5 linked regions of the Macaca mulatta genome follow. The protein of the gene in region 1 interacts with the protein of each later gene in a pairwise test. Links are inferred from orthologs where the notes say so. Each region holds a gene or a part of one and is shown on either strand. Other genes may lie near its edges. The genes, in order: CBY2, PLEKHN1, C19H19orf44, DZIP1L and METTL17.

Evidence for each region.
Region 2: the proteins of CBY2 (region 1) and PLEKHN1 interact in binary tests that used the Homo sapiens proteins (3 or more experiments, as listed by UniProt). The two-hybrid records come from large-scale screens. The link is inferred for Macaca mulatta from reciprocal best matches to the Homo sapiens genes CBY2 and PLEKHN1.
Region 3: the proteins of CBY2 (region 1) and C19H19orf44 interact in binary tests that used the Homo sapiens proteins (3 or more experiments, as listed by UniProt). The two-hybrid records come from large-scale screens. The link is inferred for Macaca mulatta from reciprocal best matches to the Homo sapiens genes CBY2 and C19orf44.
Region 4: the proteins of CBY2 (region 1) and DZIP1L interact in binary tests that used the Homo sapiens proteins (3 or more experiments, as listed by UniProt). The two-hybrid records come from large-scale screens. The link is inferred for Macaca mulatta from reciprocal best matches to the Homo sapiens genes CBY2 and DZIP1L.
Region 5: the proteins of CBY2 (region 1) and METTL17 interact in binary tests that used the Homo sapiens proteins (3 or more experiments, as listed by UniProt). The link is inferred for Macaca mulatta from reciprocal best matches to the Homo sapiens genes CBY2 and METTL17.

The regions. Positions count from the first base shown.
Region 1 is NC_133422.1:24,970,224-24,974,221, reverse strand, and holds the start of CBY2 (protein chibby homolog 2), read right to left. Parts: upstream 2,801-3,998; coding exon 2,690-2,800; intron 1-2,689.
Region 2 is NC_133406.1:239,720,835-239,725,005, forward strand, and holds the start of PLEKHN1 (pleckstrin homology domain-containing family N member 1), read right to left. Parts: upstream 2,807-4,171; 5' UTR 2,729-2,806; coding exon 2,646-2,728; intron 2,562-2,645; coding exon 2,462-2,561; intron 1-2,461. Other genes in the region: KLHL17 (kelch-like protein 17), read right to left, coding at 4,030-4,171. UniProt on the Homo sapiens protein: Controls the stability of the leptin mRNA harboring an AU-rich element (ARE) in its 3' UTR, in cooperation with the RNA stabilizer ELAVL1.
Region 3 is NC_133424.1:16,992,785-16,996,296, forward strand, and holds part of C19H19orf44 (uncharacterized protein C19orf44 homolog), read left to right. Parts: intron 1-400; coding exon of another isoform or gene 401-508; intron 509-693; coding exon of another isoform or gene 694-784; exon of another isoform or gene 785-859; intron 860-1,048; exon of another isoform or gene 1,049-1,141; intron 1,142-1,747; exon of another isoform or gene 1,748-1,896; intron 1,897-1,978; 5' UTR 1,979-2,556; coding exon 2,557-3,345; intron 3,346-3,512. Other genes in the region: CALR3 (calreticulin-3), read right to left, coding at 407-508, 694-784.
Region 4 is NC_133407.1:41,060,834-41,064,345, reverse strand, and holds part of DZIP1L (cilium assembly protein DZIP1L), read left to right. Parts: intron 1-391; coding exon 392-608; intron 609-1,056; coding exon 1,057-1,223; intron 1,224-2,144; coding exon of another isoform or gene 2,145-2,164; exon of another isoform or gene 2,165-2,280; intron 2,281-3,512. UniProt on the Homo sapiens protein: Involved in primary cilium formation. Probably acts as a transition zone protein required for localization of PKD1/PC1 and PKD2/PC2 to the ciliary membrane.
Region 5 is NC_133412.1:93,838,669-93,842,740, forward strand, and holds the start of METTL17 (ribosome assembly protein METTL17, mitochondrial), read left to right. Parts: upstream 1-1,265; coding exon 1,266-1,340; intron 1,341-1,492; coding exon 1,493-1,646; intron 1,647-1,726; coding exon 1,727-1,861; intron 1,862-3,381; coding exon 3,382-3,463; intron 3,464-3,789; coding exon 3,790-3,871; intron 3,872-4,072. UniProt on the Homo sapiens protein: Mitochondrial ribosome (mitoribosome) assembly factor. Binds at the interface of the head and body domains of the mitochondrial small ribosomal subunit (mt-SSU), occluding the mRNA channel and preventing compaction of the head domain towards the body.

The sequences.
Region 1 (3,998 bases):
CCTCCACTTGCGAGATCTAGAAAAACCTGGCGGAAATTGGTTGGAACCAAAATGGCTGACTGGAGCTTGCACACAATAAGCTTGCTGATGTCGTAGGCTGAATTTCCACCACATGTTTTGTACTAATTCCCCCTGAATTTGCACATGCAACTCAGGAGTTAACATGAAGAAATAACTGTGCATGCCCAAGGACTTTCCAGACCTCCCTTTTCCTTGTACCAATCACCTGCTAATCTCAGAATCCACCCCCTGAACCTTTTCTAATAAAAATACTGCTTTAATGCCAGCACAGAGAGACAAATTTGAGCTTGACTCCTGCCTCCTTCAGAGGTGACTTTTAATATAAAGCTTTTCTTTTTTTCAAAAACTTGGTGTCAGTATTGGCTTCTAGCATATTGGGCAGTGAGCCCCTTTTGCTTGATAACAAACTAGAACCCCAGGTGAGACGAACAGCCTGTTCAAGGTACTGTTGCCCCTAGTGGTGTGCAGGCCCCCTGCACTGATCCTGAGTAGCCACCTAGACCAGTGCGTTCAGAGGCTCAACTATAGGGTTCCTGCTTCTCTACCATGGCACTTCAGGTTCCCTTGGCACTTTTCCTTTGGGAAAAGAAATTGCTTCTGGATTAGACATCTTTCTGGTGAGTACCTTGTTAATACATACCTGTACTTTTAATTGTCTTTGAACTCATCATAAGGACTGTGGGTTCAGGTCCCACCCTGTGGTTTAGGATTATGGATGAGAGTCCCACCCTTGTCTAGGACTGTGGGTTTGAGTCCTACCCAAGGGGGATTCTGGTCAGGTTAGAGTCCCAAATCTGGTGTATGTTCAAGTCACAAAGAATTAAGGCAATAGTAAAAAGCTGCAGCCACTGAGATAATCTAGTCTGGTTCTGATTTTTGTTGATCTGTCTGTATTTTTGGTCTGTGTATCAATGTTTGGCTTAACAAAGGTTAAAGACTGTGATGGCTCCAGCAGAAGCCTTATGAGAGCTCCAGAGTAGTTTATCCGCACACTCAATTAGAACAAAGCAACTCCATAAACTAGAAAACCTGAAGAAAAATGGCACATGGAAAAAATGTCAGTCAAACCCTCTTTCTTCTTCTGCCCCTAAAGAGTTGTCATGTAGTCTTCTAAGTTATTTGCCTGTCTTTTCTTCTTGACTACTTTGAATCTGCTGACTTTTTTACTAGTGTTGAGATAAAACTTACTGTTCATGGTATTACTAGTTTAAGGTTACTGGCTAAAGAAAAAAAAAATGAAAGAGGTCTTTTAAAATCAAAGTGCCATGGAAACTGCTTTGCTCATCAGGGCAAATAAAGTTGAGCTATGTGAACAGGTTCTAATTTTATCAGGAAAATAAGTTTGATCCAACTGTCTCGTTTACGCATATACATGCATTATGTTATGTGTTGTTTCTATATGGTATCAAATGAGCTTATAAATAAAAGAGTACTGATACATTAAATAAATAAGCCCAAAAGCTTTTCAAGTTCATGTGACTTTAATAATCTTTGGAAAATAAAACCAATTTAAAATTATTGATAAAATAAAAATAGATATGTCTTCAGAATTGTCAGCATGTGATTTTGCCTGTGTTTACTGGTCAGCTGACATGTGCATCTGCTAGTTATTTTAAGATGTCCAGGTTTGGCACAAAAGTCACGAAATTATAAACCTAGCCAAAACAGAATAATCTTTGTTTACGTGATTCTTTTGATAAATAAGACTAATATTGTTGGTTTAATGACAACAATGAAATCCTCTGATTTATCAGCAAAATATCCATGTATTTCACTTCAAAGTTCTTACTTAGGTGAACACCTGATATTCACAAGCTGTGAAATGGTTAACAAGGAAAAAACTTAAAATGATGACCAGCTTTGTCTAATATCTCTGTTCTCATAACTAATCTAGATAAACTGTTAAAAACAAATAAATTAGATAAACGTAATAAATGAAATTCTTATGTTTTTGAAAATCTTGAAGTTATCATACTTACTGAGCAGCTGGGTCACTTCCAATTAAGAAAATGTATAAGGAAATGTTTCTAAAGGTTAAAAAATGGTTTTAAAATACATAAATTATAATATTTTATCTATAAAATACTGATATATGACAGACAATTCAAGAGTTCTTACCTCCTAGGTTCTTCCCTAAAATAAGGATTACTAAGAGTTAATATTGTGACTTATATATGTAATTGAAACTACTAGATACAAGAGAAACAATTCTATATGCAAAATGTATAAGAAAAATAGGATGTGTTTTTGGTAAACACATAAGAAGACAGGAATATGGTTTTCATTTAAGGGCAAGTAATTTTGCCTAGTTTAGAGGTTCTAAAGGATTGTTTTAAATTGAAGGAATAAAAAAATTATAGATAAAACTAAATAAATATAGAAAGTTAAAGAATGAAAATATAACAAATTGGAAGAGGTTATAAAAGGTTTACGGAAATCTTATCTTGCAGTCAAAACTAACTGAGATTGAATAGATTTGTTTATAAGGTCTTATTAAAATTAGCTGTAATATTAAAAATGCACTAACACAAAACTAAAAATTTTGGTTAAAGCCACAAAATTTTTTGAAGTATTGATTTGCTCTCAATGATATTGCAAGAAATATTGACTTTAAATTCTAAAATTAAAATGTCAGATTTATATCTCAGAAGTTCAACTTTTCCTGTACCTTGTTACATATAAGTTGCAGATCACATTCATTATCTTCTGTTTTTTTCCCCTTGAAAAAAACATATCTTTTTGCTTGGCTGGTCTGATAACTCTTCTTCAACTTTTTCATGAACTCCTACAATTTTTTACCCCAGCCCTAATGCTGTTCTTATGGCATAATGCTAACATATTTATCTTAAAGTTTAGAAAAGCAATGTTTTCCTCAAATGTAATATAATCTTATACTCTTGGCTTTATGATATGTCTGAATTATTTTGTATAACCAGGAAACCGCCCATGTAACTTTCTGTTACTTACTTTTGAGGTCCTTTGACTGTCATGCTAGTTAAATGAATAACTATTATTTTAAAATGACCTGTAGTTCGTTTTGATCAAATGTTCTGAATCTTTTAACATCTTTGGTAGGATTTATCTGGTAAAGTTGTATGGGAGACATTATCAAATGCTAAATAATACTGGATCTTCTTTTGGTTATGTTTATGGGTGCGCTATTGATATAAATGTACTAAAAATTACATACGTTTATAAAAGTCTCACATGCTATGAGTCGTAATTTTGATATGTTAAATCTTTTTAAAAGTTATATTTGTGTAGATACATTATTAGTAGAAATATTCTTAAGATTATATTATTATAAAAATCAGATGGTCCTGATGTGATGCTGTCAGTCATGGTTCTGGTTGTTATCTTAAAATGCTACATATAATAGAAATAACTACATTTTCCTGACAATTGACAACTTTTATCAGGTTTTAGCCATGGCTAAGTTTTTGTAATCCACAGTTATTGTTTTGAATTCTTCTCTAAAAAGCTTTCCAATCAGCTACAACCCAAATTACTTTTCATGCAAAGGACTCTGATCAGTACTCTTAAACACAGATTTCTGATAACTTTGGAGATAATGCCATCAGACTAGGAAAAGTCTTCCAGGGCTCTGATTAAAAAGTTGCATGAGAATTGCTAACCCAACATCAAACAGAACAAGAATTAGCTACATGGGACTGAACTGATAGAGGAATAAAAAGATCTTTTATGACATTTTTATTTGAAACATTGATGATCTCTTATGTTTTGTTTTCCTGAGTCAAGAAAACATTTTCCTTTTGAACCGTTTTTAACTTACAACACATTAGATAAAATATACCTTTGTGAACAAAACTTTGAGGCATTTACCTTTCTCTCTGCTCTCTCCAGAACTTGGAAGCTGTTTGTGAGTATTCTCAGTTTATGGCAATATATTATTTGCATTAGTTTTCAATAAAAAACTATTTTCTTTGGTAATAGAACACAATTGGAGACACTGGTTA
Region 2 (4,171 bases), on another chromosome or scaffold:
CACTTGTGCACACACTCATGTGCGTGCATACACACACACACACAGACACACTTCCCCACACAGAGCTGCCTGGTCTAGTGGTAGAGATGGTGAGATTTGAACTCAGTGGATTAAATCCTATCTTCATTATTTCCTAAGCTGTGTAACATGTCTTTGGTTATTCAACCTCTGAAGACTTGTTAGAAGAATTTGGGGGTGTCTGGGTAACACTCAAAACCCTCCCACGTCTCCAGTATTGGCTGGTAAACGTTTAACACCTGGTTCTACAAAAAACAGACACAGAAACACACCAATGCCCTGATTTGTAACGTTTGTCAATTTCCTCAGTGTCAATGTTCTCAGCGCCGCCCATTTCCAGCCCCCAGCCTGAAAGATGTGAGGAGATTTCCGGGGTCGATCCCCTGAGTGTGTGCTGGCCACTTGCTTAGGTGACAGCCGGGTCCTGGCAGTGCCCCGAGGGGTCAGACCCCCGCTCTCCGGCCACTGCATGTGCTCTTCCCGCTTTGGGGACCGCTCAGTCCCCACCCCCTTCCTTACCCGCTTTGCAGCTTTGCTCAGACATCACCTGCTCCAAGAGGTCCTTTTCTGAAAGCCCCTCTAAAATTCCAGCCTTCCCTGATCCTCTGCACCCATCCCCGCTGTTTTTCTCCTTAGCACCAACCCCACCCTTCTCACTGGATCTTCTATTTATTTGCCCCATCGTCTGGGAGTGGGAGCACCGTGAGAACAGGGGTTGTCTATTCCGTTCAGTTCTGTGTCCCCAGAGCCTAAGGCAGGGCCTGGGATGTGCTGTGGGTATCACTGCATGTGCTGAGAGGGGAGAGGAATCCACATCCATGCCACACTTAGCCAATCCTGGCACAGTCCTCTACAAATGCAGGCTTTGATCACCAGGCTAGAGATCAGAAAGGGGACGGGTGTGAACCTGGGGCTGGAGAGCTCTGTGATCCACAGGCTCAGGGGCAAGTGGGAAGGTGTCCTGTTCCCTCTAGGAGCTGGCAAGGGCTACCAGCAGTGCTGCTGTGTCCTGGCCAAGCTTAGCTGCCCCTGAGCAGGCCCAGGAATGTGAACAGACAGACGCATAGGCTTTCCCGGCCTCCCGCCTCTGGGTGGGGCCTCCTGTACCCACACCCAGCGTGGGAACTGATGCCGGGTAGGCACCTATGAAAAATAGGCCACAGACCAGGAAGGGCCACACAGCTAGCCCTGCAGCCCAGCTCAGCCTCGGGGCCCCAGGGAGGACTCAGCCTGGAGCCGGCAGAGCCAGCTCACAGCACTGGGTGCAGAGCCCAGGCACAGGGCAGAGGAGCACTGGCTCCAGGACTGGCCCCGAGCTCCTCCCCCAGCCCCATTTCCTGAGGCTCAGCGGGTTCCCTCTCTGGCTACCATGTCCTGGCAAGGGAGGACCACTAGGGCCACCCACCACACCTCATAGGGCCCTACCAGGGTCCCACTGCATGTCCTGGGCCTGGACAGAGAGAGTAGCGTCTGAGATGCAGCCAAAGGGACCCCACCCCTAGGCCAGCCTGGCCCCCTCTGCCTGCCCACTCCTCTGAGGCAGTGTGGTTTCCAAAACCAGCACCTGTTGTCTGCAGGGAACCCTGAAACTCTGCAGGTCAGGAGAGGGTATGGCACGAGCCTCCTGCCTGGCGGGGGCATGTTGGCAACGGGGTCTGCACGGCCACGCCAGCTGCTGGACCTAGGAGTGCAGGGCAGGGGTCCTCTCCCCCAGACGCTCCTAGGGCCTGCACATAGCATCCAGCCTGCCTGACAGGGGTGCCGTGGGGGTTCCTCCTCCTGTTCCCTCAACCCAGCACCAGGCACATCTGAAAGGGGCTGGGCATCTACCCTGTGAAGACCCTTAGTCCTACGGGGGCCTGGGCGGGGGGATGGGCATGGGGGTTCTTCTGCTCCTTCCACGACGGAGAGGTGGCCTAGTGTGTGCTCGGGAGATGCCTCCTTGCTGCGTGGCCTTGGCAGGCTGGGAGGAGGCCCTGCGTGCACAGAGGGGTTGCTGTGGACAGGGCGGCGGTACCCAGCAGCAGCTTCCTGCGGGACACCCCGTCAGAAACAGGCCGCGGGTAGGTGGCCGGCTGGCTCACTGCGCACCTGAAGCCCCTTACTGTCAAGTGACACGACCAGCACGACCCCAGCCCCACTGCAGCGACAGAGACGCGTGCGCCGGTCCCCTGCGGGAGGAGGTCCCGGGAGGCCCCGCCCGCGGCCCGCCCCGCCCAGCTCGCTCCCGACTGACTCAGTCCTGCGTCGCGGTTTCGCTCTCCGCTCAGACTTTCGGCCCGATGAGCTCCCCAGGGCGGGGCAGTCAGCATCCGCTCCTCACCTAAGGGGGTCTGAATCCCCCCGGGCCGAGGGGAAGACCCTGAACTGCAAGGACACGCGGCACACACGCGCGGGCAGAGCCACGCTCCCAGACCCCAGCCACCGCGTGCGCCGCGCTCACCGTGCCCGGGATGTAGTGGAAGAGCTTGTTGGCGGCGGCGTCCCCGCTTCCAGCAGCCTCGGGGCCCAGCAGGCCAGCCGGCATCCGTGCGCCGTCCTCTCTGGGGACAAGGCAAGGGAGCTCGTGGCCCCGGAGCGGGTGGGGGAGCCCCGTGCCCAGGTGGCCACACCCACACCCCGCTCACCTGTTTCCCTTCAATGAGGGCTTTCTGGAGAAGGAGGCCCGGAGCCTCCTGGGGGCCTGAGGGACACAGTGGCTGTTCCCCATGGCCAGAGTCGTGCAGGTCGGCAAGTCTGGGTCCCTGTCCACAGCCTCCTGCCCCCGCCTCCCACAGGCAGGCGGGGCTCTGGGACGTCCCGCCCGTCACCCAGGGCTGGGCGGGGGTGGAGCCATTCTGGAAGAGGCCTCGCCCCTACCTGAGCCATCCAGGTCTCTGCCCTGGGCCCTCCACACCGAGGGGCCAGCCTTGGGGCGATCTCCCCTCTGGCCCAGACAAGGCCTCCAGTGTGCAAGGGGCACCCCACTTGCCTGTGCTCAGGCTTTGTGAAATCGGGGCCACCTTCCAGCACCCCCCCAACAATGTGCACACACATCCTGTTTCCATCTAAACCCTGGCCGGCCTGAGTCACCGGTGACTGCAGGGAGGGCTGAGGCAGGAATTCCAGCGTAGGAGACAGTGCCCAGAGCCACCCCAGCCTCCCCTCCTGCCTGGGCTCCCTCACCAGACCCATCAGGGTCCTCAAGGCTTAAGGGGACTCTGGAAGGCCACGTGCCACCTAGGCGGCCAGGACAGTCAGCATACGCAGGGGCAGTGCTGTCCTCCCCCGCCGCACCCCCAGAGCCCAAGACGTGGCGGGGACCTCAGCCTCAGGACCCAGCTCAGGCAAACCCCACCTACAGTGGGAGAGACTCCATGGCCCCCACCCTCCCTGGATGCACAGCTCTGCCTTGTAGCCCCCAGACACCGGTGCAGCATCTCAGGCCACCCGCCCACGCCCCTCACCCTGGACCCCCAGATAGGACCCAAAGTTGCGCAGCTGCCCCACAAGCCAGAGAGATGCTCAGCCTGGGAAGCCCCAGAAATGTGTTTATTGTTCAAGTTGGGATTGTATTGCTGTGTGGGGCCCGAGTGCACACGTGTGCACCCACTACAAGATCCAGGGAAGACGGCACAAAGCAGACGATGACAGGAAGGACACCTGCTCCCCACCCTTCCCGGGACCCCGCCGTGTACAAAATTCGAGCTGGGGTCTGCAGCTGCTTGGAAAGCCCCAGGGCCTCTGGCTCCGCGGCCTGCAGGGTCTGAGCAGGCAATGGCCCTGGGGCAGCGAGGCCCCGACCTGGTCACTCCCGGCTGCCCGCCATGCAGGCAGTGGAGGGGAGGACGGGCGGCCGCAGCACTGCTCACCCCTCAATAAATAAGATAAATAACTAAATAAATAAACAACTAAATATAGACACGAAGGAATGGACGCAGAGACGTGAACAGAAGATGCAAGATGTCCCTGGTGGGGGCCACGGCCCCCTTAAGGCATGTGGGAGGCTGCAGGCCTCTGGGGGTGGGGGGGTCAGAGGCTGGTGGAGGACACGGACAGCGTGGGCGAGGACGGCGGCGGGAAGTTGAGCAGCTCCAGCACCGCCACACCCACACTGCTACGCCGTGTGAACATGCAGGACGCGGCCACCCACTTGTTGGTCCTCGGGTTGTAC
Region 3 (3,512 bases), on another chromosome or scaffold:
CAGCCTGGCCAACGTGGACCCTGTCTCTACTAATAAGTACAAAAATTAGCTGGTCACAGTGGCGCGCGCCTGTAGTCTCAGCTACTCGGGAGGCCGAGGCAGGAGAATTGCTTGAACCCGGGAAGTGGAAGTTGCAGTGAGCTGAGATCGCACCAGTGCACTCCAGCCTGGGCAACAGAGCAAGGCCCCATCTCAAAAAAAAAAAAAAAAAGAAAGAAAGAAAGAAAGAAAAGAGAGAGGAAACAAAAAACAAGGGTAAGGAGCCCTTTTGCCTTAAGTTCTACCTTTGCCTTAAGGTCTCATCTGTAAATCGGGAATAAAAGCGTTTGGCTGTGCCACAACTACCTTGAGAGGGTGCTATGGAGATGTAACATTAGGCTCAGTTTGGTCCTGATTCTACACTAACCTTTATCTTTCTCTTTATGACCATAAAACTTCCCCGACGAAAGTCTAAAATGCCCAAATCGGGAGTCATTGGTGGACTGCACCCATCGGTTTCTCCAATGCTCTGTGGGGAGGGGGAAATAACACCGGTTAGAGGTGATAATGGTTAATTTGGCCTAAGGGAAGGGTGAGGGGGACCCTCGAGGATTCGAGAGTTCGCTGCCGTCGACCTCGCGACGACTCTGCCCAGCCTTGGGGGGGCAGATGGGGGAGCTTACACCTCTGCCACTAAGGGCGTGGCCCCTTCACCTCCGTCTAGAAATTCCTCTTGGAAATAGACGGTAGCCAGCGCCACTCGCAGCATGCAGATGCCCCAGAGGGGCACCCGAACCCCGGCCATGGGGGTTTGCACTGCGCTTCCGGTCGCCACCGCCCCTTAGCTCCCGGCGCTCTCTGCGGCTCTTCAGGCGAGTCCTGAAACTACAACTCCCGTCACAACTCGCGATTATGACCTGAGGGTCCCATTGGTAGCTGCGGCGCTGGGCACGTCGGGTCCACCAGAGAACTACCGCTCCCATGATGCCTCGCGATTGTGATTCGGGACGCCATTGGTCTGCGGGACGCGGTGCTTGCCGGGAGATGTAGTCTCTTCTGCTCTGGCTCTGTTGCTCAGGGCAACCGGTCCCTCAGGCCTGAATGTGGCGGCTGCCTCTGCGAATGGACGGCGTGGGAGGAGGTCGGCAGCGCTGGTGGGGAGGTGACCTGGCTGGGCGTCCGGGCTCGCGAGGGGGATACGGGGAAATGGGGCCTTCTCCGTGGCTGAGCTGGTTGGGCAGCTGCAGGATGGTCCCGCGCCTCAGTCTCCCTGCCTGGAGTCTATTGGAGCGTGGTCCTGGGCGGGTCGCTTCATAGCTGGGGAGAAGAGCAGGATGGTCTGAGGGGCGCCAGGGTTTTCAAATTTTGGTTTGTTGGTTTTTAACGACTTTGTTGAGCCTTTATTTACATACCATAGTGTTCGCCACTTTTAAGCTGACGACTCCGTTATTTTTAGTAAATCTACAAAGCTGTGAAGTCGTCGCCATCATCCAGTTCATCCAGCTTTAGAACTTCGCGTCAGGCGGGGTGTGGTGGCTCACGCCTGGAATCCCAGCACTTTGGGAGGCAAAGGCGGGAGGATCACTTGAGGCCAGGAGATCCAGACCAGCCTGGGCAACATGGCGACACCCCATCTCTCAAAAAGATAAAAATAAAAAATTAGCCAGGTGTAGTGGCTCGCGTCTACAGTCCTAGCTACTCGGGATGTTGAGGCGGGAGCAGGATTGCTTGTGTCTGGAAGGTCAAAGCTGCTGTGAGCTGTGATCATGCCACTGCACTCTGGCTAATTTTTTGTATTTTTAGTAGAGATGGGGTTTCACCATGTTTGCTACATTGATCTTGAGCTCCTGACCTCACGTGATCTGCCAGCCTTGGCCTCCCAAAGTGCTGGGATTATAGGCGTGAGCCACAGCACCGGCCTGATCTGCTTTCTGAGTTTATTGGTTTGCATTTTCTTGACAGTTCTTACAGATGAAATGATAGGGTGTGTGGAGTTTAGTGTCTGGCTCCTTTTTTTAAATTTTTTTTTGAGGCAGAGTCGCGCTCTGTCACCCAGGCTGGAGTGCAATGGCGTGATCTCAGCTCACTGCAAACTCCTCCTCCCACGTTCAAGCAATTCTCCTGCCTCAGCGTCCTGAGTAGCTGGGATTACAGGCGCAGACCACCATGCCCCGCTAATTTTTGTATTTTTAGTAGAGACGGGGTTTCACCATGTGGGTCAGGCTGGTCTCGAACTCCTGACATCGTGATGCACCTGCCTCGGTCTCCCAAAGTGCTGGGATTACAGGCGTGAGTCACCGGGCCCGGCTTGGCTACTTTCCCTTCATATGATGTATTTGAGATTCCTGCATGCTATTATATTAGTATTTGTTTTTTAAATTGCTGAACAGTATTCCACTGTATGGATGGACCATAGTTTGTAATCCATTCACTAATTAATGGATAGTTACATTGTTTCAGCATGTTAGCCAGGATGGTCTCAATCTCCTGACCTCATGATCCACCCGCCTGGGCCTCCCAAAGTGCTGGGATTATAGGCGTGAGCCACAGCGCCCGGCCCAAACAGCAGGTACTCTTATGCAAAATTGTCTCCCCTTCCCCCACAGAATGGCTTCTGCAAGGAAAGCCAGCTGTCCCATACGCGATGTTTTTGGTGACTTCAGTGACACTTCCTTAGAAGATTCAACAATGGAAGAAATCAGAAACTTCCAGATCAGTAGAAATCTTACCAAAATAGCACCTGGTCATAGCAGATTTCTAAAAAGAAACCAAACTCTAGGTGAGAAACACTTACTCCTAAAAGAGAACCCTGTACTGGGGAGTGGACCCAGCCTTGCCTCAAGTAGACCGCCCACCACTGACTCCAGGATCCGAGCCAATGCCGCACTAAGGAAGCTGGCCCAGCTGGAAACCCGGATCATGAATCGGAAGCTGCAGAGGAATTTGTCTGACACAGAATCTGACTCAACGACCACCAATGCCAGTCTTCCAAAGAGAGCTGACAGAATCCTCTCCGGGGGTGCAATCGAACTTGCGTCCCAGAACACAGACAAAACTTCCCAGAATCAAACCTGTGAACTTCCTGTCACCGAAAATAATGCACAGAACCCAAAGGTTAGTAGGTTTCTAAAGAAGAAACAACCATCTGTTGAAAACATATCCCCTGAAGCACCTGTTGGGAAAGAGAGGACTTTGCAAACCCCCAAACAGAAAGAACCTGCTAGAACATTTGATTCTCCAGACAGTGACGAAGAAGAAATGAAAGTATTGCTAGGAAGCTTGATGGACTCTTCTAGAGAAAAAAAGACGAGTCAAGGCTTCAGCAGTGTTAACGTCAGTGAGGAAGAAGAAAGAAAACTATTTTCGGTAAGTTTTTTTTTTTTGGTAAATTTATTTTTATTTATTTAATTTAATTTAAATTTTTTTTTTTTTTTTTTGAGACGGAGTTTTGCTCTTGTTGCCCAGGCTGGAGTGCAATGGCGCAACCTCTGCTCACCACAACCTCCGCCTCCCGGATTCAAGCGATTCTCCTG
Region 4 (3,512 bases), on another chromosome or scaffold:
TGGCAGCGTGGTCTTCCTGCAGGGCTGCCTGCACTGCCGCAGCTGTAGTGTGGGTTGGGGAGAGGGTAGCGGTCTTGGTGAAGTCCATCTAGGACTGCTGAGTTCCTCTTCAGGCCCGCGGACTCCTGCTGGTCTATAATGACAGCATGACTCTGGAGCACCCAGCTGCTCTCCTGGTCTCTGAGGAAACTGTGGAACTATGGTCCCAGCCTTGAATCTGGCCAGCAGCAGAACACCTGATTTGGCAGCAATTGTGCAATCTGCTGTGGTTATTACAGCACAGAGAGGGAGTGATTGTCCATTTCCAGGGTGTTGGAGCCGCTTTCTCCCTCCTCTTAGGCTTGAGACCCAGCATGGGTGTCCTCCAAAAGTCATTCCTTTCTGTTTCCAGTCAAAAGCCAGCAGAGCACACTGGTCACCAGAGAGGCCCAGCCAAAGACCAGGACCCTGCAGGGGGCCTTGCCATCCACGCCGGCAGAGCCGCCCCCACCAACTCGTCAGAGCCATGGCAGCCATGGCTCCGGCCTGACCCAAGTGTCCACCCCGGCTCCACGCCCCAGAGTGCATGGACCCTCCAGCACCCCTCCTTCCTTGGGGCCTGGGATGAGGTGAGCCCCAGACTCTGCCCTCTCACCCCACCTGCAGTGGCGGCTCCTGGCTTCAGGCAGCCCTGTTCTGGGCTCCCTCCGGGCTTCTGCAGATAGGTGGGGGGCAGATACATGTGAACAGAAGGTGCCTCAGGTAGGGTCCAGTCTGGGCTCTGGACTTGAGAACCTGTGCTCCTAGCCAAGACAAACCCACCCTCCCCTTACCCATCTCCTCCCCCAAGCCCGTTCCCACTCCGGAGGGGCGGATCCTCAGACAGGCAGGGCTCTACTAAGGGAGAAGCTGGTGTGGCTGCTGCACTCCACGGGTCTCCTAGATATCTTCTGGGCCTGAGGGAGGGAGCAGGGCTGCCCTGAGCCCACCAAGCCAGCTTGCAGCATGATGAAGTTTGGCTTTCAAAGTTTTCTTTCTGGCCCATGCATCCCTCATTTCTTCTCCTCCTCATGGCAGCACGCCCCCGTTCAGTTCTGAAGAGGACTCAGAGGGAGACCGTGTGCAGCGTGTGTCTCTACAGCCTCCGAAAGTTCCTTCCAGGATGGTGCCTCGGCCCGAGGATGACTGGGACTGGTCTGACACAGAGACCTCAGAGAATGCCCAGCCCCCTGGCCAGGGCTCAGGTGAGCTGGCACCTTCGGGTGAGTGGGCTGGGACCACGGGTGAAACCCTTCTCCAGCCCAGATTTCTCGAGGCTCCAGAAACACCCTTCAGCTTCCTTTAGGCTTTCTGATTTGACATCTCTTTCTCTATTTGGCTTCGAGAGAATGGTCCTCCTTCGCCTCAAATTTTTTTTTTTTTCTGGGATAGCAGAGATATCAGGAGAAAGCTAGAGTTTGAGCAAGGTTTATTTTACCCCTTGTTTTGTCATCAAATTGTTGACTGTGGGAGGTCAAAGGGAGCCACTCATCTCTTTTCTCCTCCATGTTCTTTCCAGTAGAGAATAAACACAGTGGCCAGCCACGGGTGATCAAAGCCTCGCTCTAATAGTGGTGACAGGGCCCAGGAATGCCTGAGGCATTGGCTTTCTGTTAGGGCTGGATTAGAGGAACAACCAGCACTTGAGGCCAAAGTGGGGGCCCCTCCAGTCTCCCCGAATCCAGATCCTGATCTTACTTGTGCGCAGGGCTGGGTTTGCAAAGCAGACCCTGAATGTGTAAGACCTTAAACAGGCAGCTGTAGGGTGCACTCCAGCCCGGCTCAAACCCAGCCATAGGGGCGGGGAGGCTCCGAGAGAAAGAGCTGGCACTGTTTTCTGGATCAGCAGCCCTCCTTCAGGTGCGCCGTGGCCCAGGGTGTGTTGCAGGCCCACCCCTCTGCTTGGCTTCTTCTGTGAGGAGAGGGTAGGATGTGGGGAAGAAACTGGGAGGGTGTTTCTCCTATCCTTGTCCATCCTGGTGAGGAGAGCAGAAGTTCCCTCCTTCTGCGCAAGCTCGAGGCGTGAGAGAAGGCTCTCCCCTCTGTGTTGGTGTTTCTGGGTGCTCACCGAGTGCTCAGCTCTGTGTGGATCTCTTCGCACGAGTCTCCTCGTTTACTCCTCACAGCACTGATGAGGGAAGGCTGAGCCACACACGTCGTGACAGAAGTTGAAACTAAGCCTCATAGACATTATGACTGGCCCAAGACCGCAGAACGATGTCATGGCAAGTTGAGATTCTGTATGATGTTTTTGAAGTTAATGTGTTAGAGTCACGTTTATTTATTTAATTGTAAACTAACAGAAAGAGCTGCCTTTAGCTGTGTTCCAAATGTTAAGAATATCCCCATAGTCTTTTATGCTGTTTGAGTTCGTTAGCACCGATCAAGAGTTGATGGTCCTAGAGTTAAATACCACAGTGGTCAAAGTAGCCTCCAGGGCAAACCTCAGTTACAACTTGAAGGGAAAACAGTTTGCTACCATGAACATTTTGACAAATATAGTTTTCTATAACACATAGACTGTAACAAGCATAACTTTTTGCAACAACTCAATTGTGAAAAGTGTGGCTTCCCAGCAAAGCTTGAGACAGAGGAGGCAGCCACAGACAGTCAGTCAACCTTTATAGCAGGCTGCCTTTGGGCCACGCAGCCTGTTTCATCATACGGGGAAGCTCTTTGCCCTTTTCAGCCAAGAGACTTAGAAATTCAACGTGTTGATGGAAAGGGTATTGTAGAGACCTGAGCTAACTGTCATGGTAACTGGAATGAAAATATTCCTTCAATGTATTATTTTCTGTCTAACAGGTTGCAATGACTAGTTGAGCATCCTTCTTTTCAAAACAACTGTCTACTCCCATTCTTTCAAGATTTTCCTATCAAACTGCCAACTGAGGCCTGCAGCTTCTGGCTTCAGTTGTATTTTCTAGCCAAGACTGAGTTAAAGAATAAAGAATGTGGAATTTAGAGTTTTGTCTTGCCAAGGTCAGTAAGTAGAAACTCTGGGATGTCAGGCTAGGCTTGCAGTCTGCAAAGTTCTTGCTCCTAATAGACTCTGCAGCACTTGGCCATGTTTACAGCATAAGCCAAGCCTGCCAGTCCATCAGAATTCGCCAGAAACAGATCTCTGGAGAAGTATTGATGCCCTGCCAGGCGAGGGCAATAGGGTGGCAAGGTCTTGGGACTGGGAGTTAGGAATCTTCAGAGAAAGTCCTGGCTCTGCCACTTGCTACCTGCTTGTCCTTGTGCAGGTGGTTTCTGCTCCTTTGTTGTAAAATGAGGTATTTGGACAAGGTGATTAATGAGAGGGTGAGGAAACAGTGCCTGCTACATCATAGGCCCTTAACAAACATTTCTTGAATGAATCAGTGAGCCAAGGGCTGTTGTAGCTCCAAAAGTCAGCTCAGACCTTGATTTCGTTTGAATCGTAGAAGACTGTAGTTAGCTTCCTGCTTCTTGGTCATTCCTGAGGTTCATACATCACCTTGGTGTGCCAG
Region 5 (4,072 bases), on another chromosome or scaffold:
AGCAGCCCTTCTCCCCTTGTCCACCCATGTCTTCTCACCCCGCCTCACCCCGAGATGAGGAGCCCTGAGAGAGCTGGCAGGCTGCGGTCGGTGAGGGCTGCAGATTTGAGGAAGAAGTCGAATAAGGGAGAGGACCACAGAAGGGCAGTCCAATTAGGGTGCTGGGACCTGAGATCCCTGGACCACCTGTGGTAGGGCCTGATGACCCAGGAGTCTAGCCCTCCAGATGAACTGGCTGGTTCCACACACAAGTCAAGTGGATATGCTGGGAGAACATCCTAAACCTGTAACAGAAATTAGGGGGGCAGGAACCCACAGAAATCACACACTGGGTGAGCTCAAGTGTTTGGAGACTGAGGTAGCAGTTGTGCACTGTCAGATTCCGAAAGTAGATATGGCCTTGCATATGCCATTTATCCTTCTGATGCTCTGGTGAATGAAGGAGTTGATGGCCTGCAGACTCTGGAGACATTACCCTGTGCTACATTATCACGTCACAAGAGTGGCTGAACCCACCTGAGATTCTGCACCTCAGGTAGTCACGACAGCATCTGTAGAAGTCCTAGGCCTGGGGGAAACAGTGTGATCTAGCAGCAGACTCAGAAGGGTCCCCGTCAGAACCAAGTTTTCTGTGAAGCGAGTTTCAGTCCTTTTCCCTGAAGTACCTAGCACGTAGGTGTTCTCAGTAAGTGTTATGTTAGCTTACTAAGAAGACTGGTCTCATTTGAAGAGAAATTAACAAATGTAAAAAAATAAAATAAAATAAACCGATTAACTAGGTTTTTTATCAAACTATTAACTATTCAATAATTATTTAACTATTAATTTCTGTTGTCTAAAGTCTCTTAAATATGATTTTTCTCTTCTCTTCCTTCCGTTACTGCAGTCTCCCTTTTTCACACAGGGAAACAACCCAAGACTCAGAGTTCTCCGCGGAGGAATGCAAAGAACACAGGAAGTCAGTATTCCCAGAAACAGTCTCTGCCAGTCAATGGCGCGCTCACACCCAACTCCATCCCGCCCCCGTCCCGCCCCACCCTCTTGATTTCTGGCGCCGGTGACCAAGCCCGACGCAGCCTCCAGCCCAAACACGGTTTCCGCCTCAAGGATATTTATATAACCATTGCTTATTGGCTGCTGGCAAACACTCGCTCTTCTGGTTGGCTGAAACTGTCGGGGGACGTTCTGCGAAGGCGGCTCCTTGCGGCGTTGTGACTGAGGGTCACAGGAACCTACATTTCCGTTTCCGGTTCGCCTCCGGAGCCATGGCGGGGGCACTGAAGTCTCTACTGATATTAGGAAGATGGTGCCCCGGCCTTGGAGTAGCTCCCCAGGCCCGGGTGAGTACCTACATTGCCGGCTCACGGAGAGACTCTGGATCTGCAGAGACATCTCCGCGCGGAGGAGGAGCGCTTCTGGCAGCCCCCGCCCTAGCGAGCGCCAGCAACTTTCCTTTCTGCCAGAAAATCAACCTTTCTTTCTCTGCCTGCAGTCGCTCGCCGCAGTAGTACCTGGAGTGACACAGATAGATAACAAGTCCGATTTCCTGCAGAAGAGGCCTCATCGCCAGCACCCTGGCATCCTAAACCTACCGCACGTGCGGCTGCCACAGGCACTGGCTAACGGTGCCCAGTTACTGCTACTTGGTGAGTAACGGCTGGAAAGGGAGAAGAAACGGGACTGGACCTGCATGCAAGTGATTCCGCTTTTCATCTTTGGCCCATAGAGAATGCTGGGCCCACTATGGAGAATCAGGTGCAAACACTGACCAGTTATCTCTGGAGCAGACATTTGCCTGTGGAGCCAGAGGAGTTGCAAAGACGGGCTAGGCATTTTGAGAAGAAATTTCTGGAAAACCCAGGTAGGACTTAATAATTAAAAAGTAGGCCAGATTGAAATGTCGGTTAGAAATGAAGAGTAAGAAATAATTTTGCAGTCTCTCGAACAGGTACTGAAGTCTCTTATTTGACTTTCTAACCAGAGCAGCAGTTGTAACAATGATGCCTTATTAAAAGAAGGTAGATTATTCTAGAGATTGCTTAGGTAAAGGTTAGAATGTCCCAGTATACTGTTTTTTGTTTGTTTTGTTTTTTGTTTTTGCTTTGAGACAGAGTCTTGCTCTGTCGCCCAGGCTGAAGTGCAATGGCTCGATCTCGGCTCACTGCAACCCCCACCTCCCGGGTTTAAGTGATTCTCCTGCCTCAGCCTCTTCACTAGCTGGGATTACAGGCGTGCACCACCACACCCGGCTAACTTTTGTATTTTTAGTAGAGACAGGGTATCGTCATGGTGGCCAGGCTAGTCTTGAACTCCTGACCTCAGGTGATCCACCCACCTCGGCCTCCCAAAGTGCTGGGATTACAGGCGTGAACCAACGTGCCTGGCCACCAATACACTGTTAAAATCTAGATACTTGTTTTTTTCCTGCACGTCCACTGGATTAGGACCTTCTAAGTTTTTATTCAGGTAAAATAAAGTCCCTGGATGACCTCTACCCAGTACTGAAATCCTCTTCTGGGATAAGAGGATAAATATAATTCATCAAGTTAGTTTCATGATTGTGAGCTCCTTAACATTACCATTTATTCATCTTGCATTCCCTGCACACCTTACAGTACCTGGCTCATAGTAGGTGATCAGTAGATACTTGCTCAATAGTACTGAACTGAACAGTCATGAGACCTAGATTTTCAAATTTCTTTCCTCTCCATAGGAAAAGTGGAGATCATCAAAACCTTAAATTTTGGAGAAGTGAAGAAATCCAAAAAATAGTGCCCTTTAATTTTTTTTTTTTTTTTTTTTGAGACAGTCTTGCTCTGTTGCCCAGGCTATATAGTGCAGTGGCACGATCTCAGCTCAACACAACCTCTGCCTCCTGGTTTCAAGTGATTCTCCTGCTTCAGCTTCCTAAATAGCTGGGACTACAGGTGCACGCCACCACGCCTGGCTAATTTTTGTATTTTTAGTAGAGAGAGGGTTTCACCATGTTGGTCAGGCTGTTCTGTTCTTGAACTCCTGACCTTGTGATCCACCTGCCTCAGCCTCCCAAAGTGCTGGGTTTACAGGTGTGAGCCACCACGCCCAGCTTACCCTTTAAATTTTTATCACACTTTCCTTTAATGCAAAACAAACCTGTGGAACAGGATTGATTAAGCTGAATAAATCATTCTTAGAAGCAAAATGCTATTTGAAACAATCTGTTAGTGGTAGTAGTTACTGTTAATTCTTGCCTGAAACTTTTCTCTAGGTTTGTTGTCTCTCTTGAGCTTTAAGACTTTCTTAGGTGGAGTCAGGGAGGACTGGGTGGGCAGTATATTCTGATATTGGATCTGAGCCCTGTTCTCCCTAGGTCCTGACTTCCAGTCCTTGTTCTCACCACAGACTTATGTCAGACAGAGGAGAAACTTCGTGGAGCAGTGCTACATGCACTACGTAAAACTACCTACCATTGGCAGGAGCTGAGGTAAGGGGGCCTAGAAGAGGTGCACAAGAAAGAAAAGGCAGAGAGAGTTGGGGGAGTACAATTACACAATCAATTTAGTATTTTTTTTTACATCACCTGACCTTAAAAGGATCAATTTAGTATTTGAAAAAGTTAAAGTTCGAAGTTTCGAACCCTGAAGTTTGAAAATTTAGTGTTTGTAAGGTTCCCCAGGACCCTTTTGTATTGGGGAGTGAAAGGCCTGAGCTGGAAGAGCCTTTTCCAAGATGTCATTTTCTAAATCTAGAAGGTAACTATGGGATTAAGGTTATTTACTAGTATGTATGACTCTCTGATTTTAATGGCAGCTACACTGAGGGACTGAGCCTGGTGTATATGGCAGCAAGACTGGATGGTGGCTTTGCAGCAGTCTCCAGAGCATTCCATGAGGTGAAAGTCCCTTAACTTCCAACCTGAACTTTTTGACCATCAGTTCCCTATTCATAAAGTAGTTTTCTAGGATGGGGATTCTTGGGACATTGCATATGCATTTTTTTTTAAAGAGGATCTCCGCTGGGCATGGTGGGCTCCTGCCTGCAGTCACAGCTGTTTGGGAGGCTGAGGCAGGAGGATTGTTTGAGCCAGTTTGAG